2 linked regions of the Ovis aries genome follow. The protein of the gene in region 1 interacts with the protein of each later gene in a pairwise test. Links are inferred from orthologs where the notes say so. Each region holds a gene or a part of one and is shown on either strand. Other genes may lie near its edges. The genes, in order: SNCA and LAMP2.

Region 1 (4,453 bases):
GGAAAAGGCAAAACTATGGAGAGAAAAAGATCAGTGATAGCCAGGGGTTGGGAGAAGGCCATGAATAAGCAGAGCACAGAGGATTTTTAGGACACTGAAAATACTCTATATATTATAATGATGAATGTGTGTGTGTGTTAGTCACTTAGCCGTGTCTGACTCTTTGTGACCCCATGGACTGTAGCCTACCAGGCTTCCCTGTCCACGGGATTCTCCAGGCAAGAATACTGGAGTGGATTGCCATTCCACATTCATCCAAACTCACAGAATGTATTGCAGCAAGAGTGATCCTTAATGGAAGCTATGGAGTTCGGATGATCATGATGTGTCAATGTAGGTTCAGCAGTTGTAATGAATGTACCATCTGGTAAAGGATGTTGGTAATTTGAGAGGTTATGCATGTGTGGGGTTTGGGGTACATGGGAAACCTCTATATATCAATTTTTCTGTTAATTTAAAACATAAAAATTAAGTCTTTAATTTTTTAAAAGTATGCCTTTTTACTTATAGGTTCGGCTTTATTATGATGTTCTCACAAGAACTCTACAGGGTACTTGCATGTATTCAAACTGTATTTTTACAAATGAGTAAAGTGATGCTTAGATATGTTAAGTACCTTTCCATTATCCTAGAGGTTAAAAAGTGCTGTAGTCTGGACTGGAATTCAAGTTTGACATCAAATCTACATTTTTTTCCTACTTTATCAGGAGTCAGTAAACTATAGCTTATGAGCCAAATAAACTCTCCAGCTGTTTTGGTAAGTAAAGTTTTATAGGAACATAGTCACCCTAATTATTGTTTATGGCTGCTTTCACTTCAGGAGAGCAAAGCTGATCAGCTGAAACAGACATCATACCCTAAAATTATTCACTACCCCTTTAGGGAAAAAGCTTGCCAAAACCTGGTAGTACTATAACTTCACAAGGTCATACTTCATCCTGAATTATGTATTTGTGTTCAACTTTTAATTGACTTTAAAATATCAACTGATAAATAGTATATAGAATGCACTCTGTTAAATACCATAATGAACACTGAAGATTATTTTTTAAAATATGTATACATAAACAAATTGAAATTTCATATAATAATCTCAGAGAAAACAACAGAATTAATCTCTAAAAAATTGTTATTTTATTTGCCCAAACTCATGGGTGAAAATGAAAACAAGTACAATGTTTTCCAGATGATAATCCTGCTTATTACCTGGAAAACAGCACCATGTTAATTTAATAGTCAGTGGTTCTTGGACTCATTCAAAACTAATAAATCAATATTATCCAACTAAAAATATCTTAAAAGTAACTAAGCTATAAAGTAACTGAAATCAAGGAATGGTTACAAAGCATGCACTTGTACAACTTGGAACACTGAGGACAAATATAAAAATACTGATTATCTAAATGTCACTGATTCAGTATTCCAAATTCCACCTAAAAAGATACAATCCACATTTCACAAGAAAAAAACTGAGTTTAACTCATTGACTTTTCCCTCTTGTAAGATCTTTCAATTCAATGATTTTCTGAAAATACATTTTAAGATAAAGAGTAATTTAACTAGAGGTTTGTGGTAAGATTGAACCAAAATAAAAAGTCTATGAACAGTGAGAAAAAATATGAGAAATATTCATAAAAATCATTCCAAGTATAACTTTTCTCCAGTCCATCTCTATTGAAGAGACGATATAGCTTTCCTTCACCCCACAGACATAGACAGAGTATTCTACACAATCCATTATGCTCATCCTCCACTTTATTACTCATCCTTTGGCTACTGGTGCTACACCTGCTACCAGAGAATGTGAGGAAAAGGAGGAAAAGCTCAGAGGAGAAAAGAGAATGGGCAGTGTGTGAGTGTATGCTCATGTGCCCGTTTGTATCCCTATAGATGAGTGTGTGTCTATGTGTATGCCTATTTCTTCACCCAAAGAATTCCAGGTGACTTGTAAAACAACACCCAACCTAACACAGTTCAAGATTAAAAAAAAAGAGTAGGGCTTCCCTGATAGCTCAGTTGGTAAAGAATCTGCCTGCAACGCAGGAGACCCTGGTTTGATTCCTGGGTCAGGAAGAGCCTCTGGAAAAGGGATAGGCTACCCACTCAAGCATTTTTGGGCTTCCCTTGTGGCTCAGCGGGTAAAGAATCCAGTTGAAATGTGGGAGACCTGGGTTCAATCCCTGGGGAGATCTGGGTTCAATCCCTAGGTTGGGAAGATCCCCTGGAGAAGGAAAATGTTATCCACTCCAGTATTCTAACCTGGAGAATCTCCATGGACAGTCCATGGGATCACAAAGTATTAGACAGGATGGAGCAACTTTCACTTCACTGCAAGAATACTCTGATGTGGGAATTTATAAACAAGGAAAAACAGTAAGCATCTAATTTATTGTATCATTTGATAAATGAACTATATAAATGTCTCAGAGATATTAGCAGCCTTCAAGCACTTTCTTGAGCTTAGTCCCCAACTTACCAAGTGGTCACAAGAAGTAACTCCAAAGACTTGTCTGTCCTTTTCTTTTTAGAGTCACAGTAGGTCTCTCTTTACATATCTCAAGATTATATCAACGTCTTACTTTTAAATTAGAATACACTGAAGTTAGCATATATTATTCATGAAGATAAATCAAAAGCTCATGGAGGAGTTTGATTTTAAGATACTATTGAATATTTTCTGAGACTGAGTTTTTAAAAGTGTCCTCAGAGCTATAGTTACTTATGCATAGAAACATTCATTTAAAAAAAGAAAGTCCTAAATATTACTGCAAAATTAAATAGTCTGGAAAAACAAAATAGCCCCACTTTGTATATTAGCTCAAACACACACATTCACCTACTTACACACACCTCTGATTCAGCCCATCACTTTGAGGAGTGGTGAGAAATACCAGCATTTAAAGCATCAATCATCCTAACCCATCAATCCCAAATAAATATCAAAGTGACATTTAGGGCTTACCTACCTACATAGAGAACACCCTCTTTTGTCTTTCCTGCTGCTTCTGCCACACCCTGCTTGGTTTTTTCAGCAGCAGCCACGACTCCTTCCTTGGCCTTTGAAAGTCCTTTCATGAAAACATCCATGGCTAACGAATTCCTTTACACCACACTGGAGAAGACAAAATACACTTTAAGAACTTCTGCGTAAAAAACAAAATTAGAACCACCCAAAGTAAAAACTATTGAAAGATCAGTAGAATCCTCAAAAGAGTGAGATTCTCTTAAGTGTACCTCCATTTCAACCACTGGACAAAGGAGGCTTTTCTTAGCTTTTGCATTAAAAATTTAGCATCTCCCATCCATCTTGGCTGGATAAAGTCTAGCCGCCTAAACATGGATTAGGATGAATCATATGAGCTGTTCTTACGCGTTTCCGAAGTGGAATTGCACGGAAAGATAGACTCCTCTTTTAACTTCCCAGGGTCCAAATGGTGACAGTATAAGTTAGAAGTGCGTTTAGAAGACATCACAGGAAAAGGAAAGGGACCTGAAGGCAGGGGGTCAGGGACACGCTTACATTCCAAAAGGCAGCTAACAGATCAATCACGAATAGGGGAGGGAAGGAACCACTCACTCTGGGTGTGGCTGAACCTCAGGCCAACTGCGAGCCCACCGCCCTCGCTCTAATTCACCCAACCATGCACCCGACCCTGGGCTATCAACCCAGAGCGTGCAGGAGGGCGCGAGTTCACAACCACGGAAGCCTCAGGAGGCGCGCCAGCCACCCGTGGGGGCGTTCTCAGCGCCTGGAACCCGCCCCCTACCCTGCGCCGCACCTGTTAACCCCTTATCACCTGTTGACTCGCCCTCTCAGCGCTCCCACTTAACGATTTGCCAAACATAGCTTGTTTACTTCACAGAGAGAACAGAGAGGGCGGACTAGAGGCGGGGGGCGGTTAAGGAAAGCGACAAACAAAAGTTGAATACTCATACTCCCTGGAGCATCCTCGCGTTTCCCAAAGGAGAAGCTTATCCCTGAGAATCCAGACCTCTCGGCCTCTGAGGACGAGAAGAGGGAAGCAGTCGAAGCAGGAGGCAAACAGGTCAGTTGCCTTTCCTCACGCTCACCCTAGGGATAAGCACTCACCTCTGAGAGAGGCTCGACTACAGCTGGTCCTCGCGGCAGCACGCCCACCCCACCCCCGCGCGCCCCGGGGCGCCCGCAACGACTCTTCTCCCACCAGGTGTTCTCCACGACTTCCAAAGCTGCCCAGTTAGTTCCACAAGCACTTACCAGATTTCCTCGGCTCCACGAACTCCAATTTCTCCCCCACCCCCACTTAAAAAATTTAAAAAACAATTCCCAAATGTTATTTAAGTGGGAAGAGAGAGGATAAAGAGCGCACAGGAAGGGTGGAGGCGGCACCAGAAGAGGGATGGTTCCCAGAGGAGGCGGCTGTCAGCACAAGCCTGCGCTGGGAGGCGGGGAGCGTGGGACGCAAACCCACAA
Region 2 (4,396 bases), on another chromosome or scaffold:
TAAAAAAATAAAAATAATGGCGGGGGGCGCACTTCTGAGCGCTCAACTCAGCTGCCGGTTCTCCAGGACAGAGCTGCTTCCTAGCCTTATTGATGGGGCAGTTAGTTTCACTCATGACACAACACATTCAGTGTTCTCACTTTCAGGAATTAATCACATTCAAGCGAAGGACAGTGGTGGAATAGATCTTAATATTGGAGCAGGAGTGGGTGTTAGGGTGAGAAGTCATAGGTCCTACTTAAGAAATTGTAAAAACTACCAACTTCCTCAGAAAAATACACATATGTAAATCTTGCCTGTAATTTTGGGGGATTCACAGACACCTATCCCCCACCCCTAGTTCATCCATTGGAACCAGATTAAGATCTCCTGGGACTAGATGATTTTGAAGCTCTATTTTCTGGTACTTGAAATGTAGTCTGGGAACCATAGGAATCAGAATCACTTGGAGTTCTTGTTAAAAGAACTGATTCCTAGGAGTGCCACAGACCTACTGTTTCAGAATCTCTGGGGAATGAGGTGAGGATTCTACATGTTATTAAAAATCCCCACATGACACTTTTGGAAACTAACATTTGAGAATCAACGCTTTGTCCCAATTTGAGATCTTTATAATTTTTGAATGCTTTCATTTGTTGAAGAGTTTGGGTTTCATCTGTTCAGTTGTCAACTATACTAAATAATGTGTTTAGCGTGAATTCTAACTAAAGAATATTTACATGTGTATAGGTAGAGGAAAAACAGCTTGTTGGATGGTGTCTCTTTCTGTGTACTCGGAATATGGATGATCCTTTCTTCCCTTGTCCTTCTATTTCTTCCTCATTGTTTTTCTATATTTAAATAAGATTCTTCCTCTTTCTGAGTTCAGTTTCCCCATCTGAAAAACAGGGTGTTGTAACTAGGTGAACTTCAAGGCCTGCTCTGGTGTTCACTGACTCCATATCACCCTCTAGCTCCCTTGTCCTTTTAATGACATGAACTGCATGGGCAACGGTGTTTGGAGAATAATCCTGTTTTATTTCTGTAGGTATGACGTTGCAATACCTAGCAACCATTTTTACTCCAGCAAAAGTATTCTCAAAGAGTCAGAATTGAAATAATCTATACTAGCTACACCCCCAAAAAAAGTTCGTCTCTCCTTAAAAAACCTCAGAAAGGGCCGTCCGCGCGCATCTCTTAGGAGCATAAAAATGACTGTGAACCAAAAAGCCAGGGCGTGGTCACCCCGCCCACTGGGCCCAAGCATCACCACCCCTAGGGCCTCTTTCAAGCGCGCAGATTGGCTGAAGGCAAGAAAGAGCCCCGCCCCTGGTCTTATGACCCGCGCTGAAAGCGCCGAGTCCTGGCTTTTGCAGCGTTGTGGTCGGTGGTCATCAGCGCTCCTATCAGGTTTCAGCGAGCCTTTTCCCTGCTGTCGCTGCTCTTGTCGCCGCCGCCTGCTCTCCGGGATCATGGTGTGCTTCCGCCTCGCCCCGGTTCCGGGCTGTGGGTTCCTTCTCTTCTGCCTCGTCCTGGGTGAGTTGTCGGGCCCTTCTTCTTAGTCCCTGATCCTGGGCCCGGGGCTCCCAGTTCAGAGGCAGTAACCTGAAAGACTGGTCCGGAGGGGAGGGGGTTGAGAGGCTGAATGACAGACACTGGGCGTTGGCGCTTGGCCCGAGGTGATGAGCAGTGACCTAGCGAAGGCCCGACTGAGGGATGGCGAGGGACAAGGGCCCATGAGAATAAAAAAGAGCAAGGGGTGGGGGTGGACGCCGAGGGAGTAGGCAGGGAAGAGTGAGGAGTGGAGCACTGGGGGTGGAAAGAGTAACTTGGGGGCGATGCTAAGGAGAGGTGAGCGTGGGAGGGCGGTACGTGCGGTCTCTGGGGTGGCACGGACAATTAGAGTCCTGGTCCTAGGATCAAGGAAGAGTTTTGAAGATGGTGGGAACCTGTGGGGCGGGAGAGGAAACTGAGGAGGGAAGGGGACTGCCTGCGTGGAGAAGCTTGGGTTAAGGGGGGTGGGGGACAGATAGGGGGAGATTCTGAGGAGCAATAAGAGGCTTGTTGGGGCAGGAGTTTAACGCTGTGGAGGAGGGGTGGTTCTAGAGAGATAAATTGGGGTTTGGTACTTGGAGTGTTGATGGGGAAGGGGGAGCTACGGTGGCTGGGGCAATTTCCAGACGAGAAAACTTCGATGTACCCAATCTCTGGAGACTAAAACGGGTGAATACCAACTTCGGTGGGGAGTGAATATCTGACTTGGAAGTGCTGAGGACATAGTTGTTTATTTTTTTAAAACCAGTTTTATTACTTCCTTCCAGCTAGACTGATTAAAAAAAGGTCCTCAGATATTGAGGTTTTGCGGGTGGTGTATCTGAGTCTTGTACACTGCCACTTTACGTTCAGAAGCTCCTTTTCTTCTCTCTCACACAACTGGCCTGTTACCGCCTGGTTTTCCGAGGAGGAGGAGGAGGGCAGGTCATTTTCTAAGGATCGGGTTTTTACTAGGTCCTAAGAATGGCTGGCTGGCTGGCTCCTGGCGCTGTGAGCGCCCCGTGCCCCACCCCCACCCCCCGACCAGAACGCTTTAGGTCCCCGAGGCCTTTAACTACCTGAAAGGTGAACTTTGACCAGAATTTTCTTCCTGTCCTGATAAATTCTGAGCTTGTTACTACCTGATTCTTGCCGTTTGTGACCTAATAAAAGACCAGAAGGGGCAGACTCAGATGGAAATAGAGAAGAAATAGATACATTAGGGGCTGGGGAAGGGCAGTGAGAGGCACACATTTTGTAATTGACATTTCAGTAGAAGAATAAAGTCAACACGTGGAATGGTGGATTCTCACCCAAGAGGCATTTAGCAATGTCTGGAGACATTTTGGGTTGTTATCACTGGGGATTGCTTTTGGCATCTAGTGGGAAGAGGGCAGTGGTGCGTCTAAACATCCCACAAGGCACAGGACAGCACACACACACCCTCCCCCCCGCCCAATAAGGAATGACCCATCTCAGAATGTCAGGAGTGCCAAAGGATGAGGAGTCTGGCTCCAAAGCTGTGGCGTTGGAAGGGGTCTGGATCGACCAGTGATTCTTAAGGATCTTTGGGGGTGGGGTGGGGGGAAGTTCCTGTCAGATGAAAACTATTTCCAGACTGAAATTAAGATATTTGTCTTTTTCACACTCATCCGCTCCTCAGTACGGTGGAGTTTTCCAGAAGCTATAGAATGTGTGATGACATCACCACCCTCATGGGTCTGACGTGTTTTAGTCCTTTTTTTTTAGTTTTAATTTCTAGTACAGCAAGTAACAATGGATATAAGTCACATAAACAAAGCCCTTTGAGGTCCTCAGTGGATAAGAGAGTAAAGGGGCCCTGATGCCAGAAGGGAATCTAGCTGTGCATTTAGTGCAGGAAAGCCTCTAGCCCTTTTGAAAGGGGCCACGGAGCTTTGCTCAAATGTAATGTGCAGCCTTGACTCCTCTGTGAAGCACTTAGGGAGGCCAAATGACCCTATGAGAGGATTGTTTACAGTGAGAAGCACCTTATCAGTGACTAGAACACATCTGACCAAGGCATCTGGTAATCAGTAGTTCTCTGCCAATTGGATCAGCACAAACAACACTTTTATTGTTCAGAGAAAGGGGGAAAAATTCATTGTCTTGTTGGCTTGCTTGTCATTTTTTTTCCTTTTAATGAAAGCTTTTTTGTGTGCTCTTTTTACAAAAGCAGTACTTGCTCATTGCAGAAAATAAACAGGAGAAAAGAAGCACATTAAAAAAAAGCATCAGCTCATCTGCTAGTTTGCCATTTATTGTTTGGGACTAACATCCTCTTGGAAGATTTTCAAACTCCTGTGTGTGTTTAAGAATTTAGCAATTCTTCAGTTGCTTGGTGGATTTTGCACCTTACCTTTATATATCAAAGTGGATACCAATAATAGTTTTTTGGAAAGTCAATAAAGTATCTGCTGTGAAATTCACACTGTTCTGAGCACTGCAGAGGGTCCCAGGGAGGAGGATTTGTTCCTGGATTTATGACCTCATTAACTGGTAGTGCACTGGTTTCACTTGGTAACTTTATAACTCTCTCCCAGCTCTACCAGGTAGCTCTTTAAAAATAGCTGCTTTAGAGTAAGTATAGAAAGGAATTCTCAGAGCCTGTGTATTGGCCTTTTTCACAAAGATTAAATTATGCTAGTATTTATTGGAATGAATTGACCTGCCTAGAGAACATCTGAAGAAAAGCTACCTAGAGGCGTTAGAGAGTAGTGGATGAAAAACTTTTCCTAGCATCATTGCTTATGTTTCCCCTGTGACATTATAGATTTCAGAGTTCCGTGGTTACTGATTCCCATAACTAGTCTGACTTCTGGTTTTTATAGGGTGGAGGCTATTCTGGGTGGGGAAAAACCTGATA

The links.
Region 2: the proteins of SNCA (region 1) and LAMP2 interact in binary tests that used the Homo sapiens proteins (3 or more experiments, as listed by UniProt). The link is inferred for Ovis aries from reciprocal best matches to the Homo sapiens genes SNCA and LAMP2.

What each region holds. Positions count from the first base shown.
Region 1 is NC_056059.1:35,535,422-35,539,874, reverse strand, and holds the start of SNCA (alpha-synuclein), read right to left. Parts: upstream 3,088-4,453; coding exon 2,967-3,087; intron 1-2,966. UniProt on the Homo sapiens protein: Neuronal protein that plays several roles in synaptic activity such as regulation of synaptic vesicle trafficking and subsequent neurotransmitter release.
Region 2 is NC_056080.1:104,795,130-104,799,525, reverse strand, and holds the start of LAMP2 (lysosome-associated membrane glycoprotein 2), read left to right. Parts: upstream 1-1,344; 5' UTR 1,345-1,451; coding exon 1,452-1,515; intron 1,516-4,396. UniProt on the Homo sapiens protein: Lysosomal membrane glycoprotein which plays an important role in lysosome biogenesis, lysosomal pH regulation and autophagy.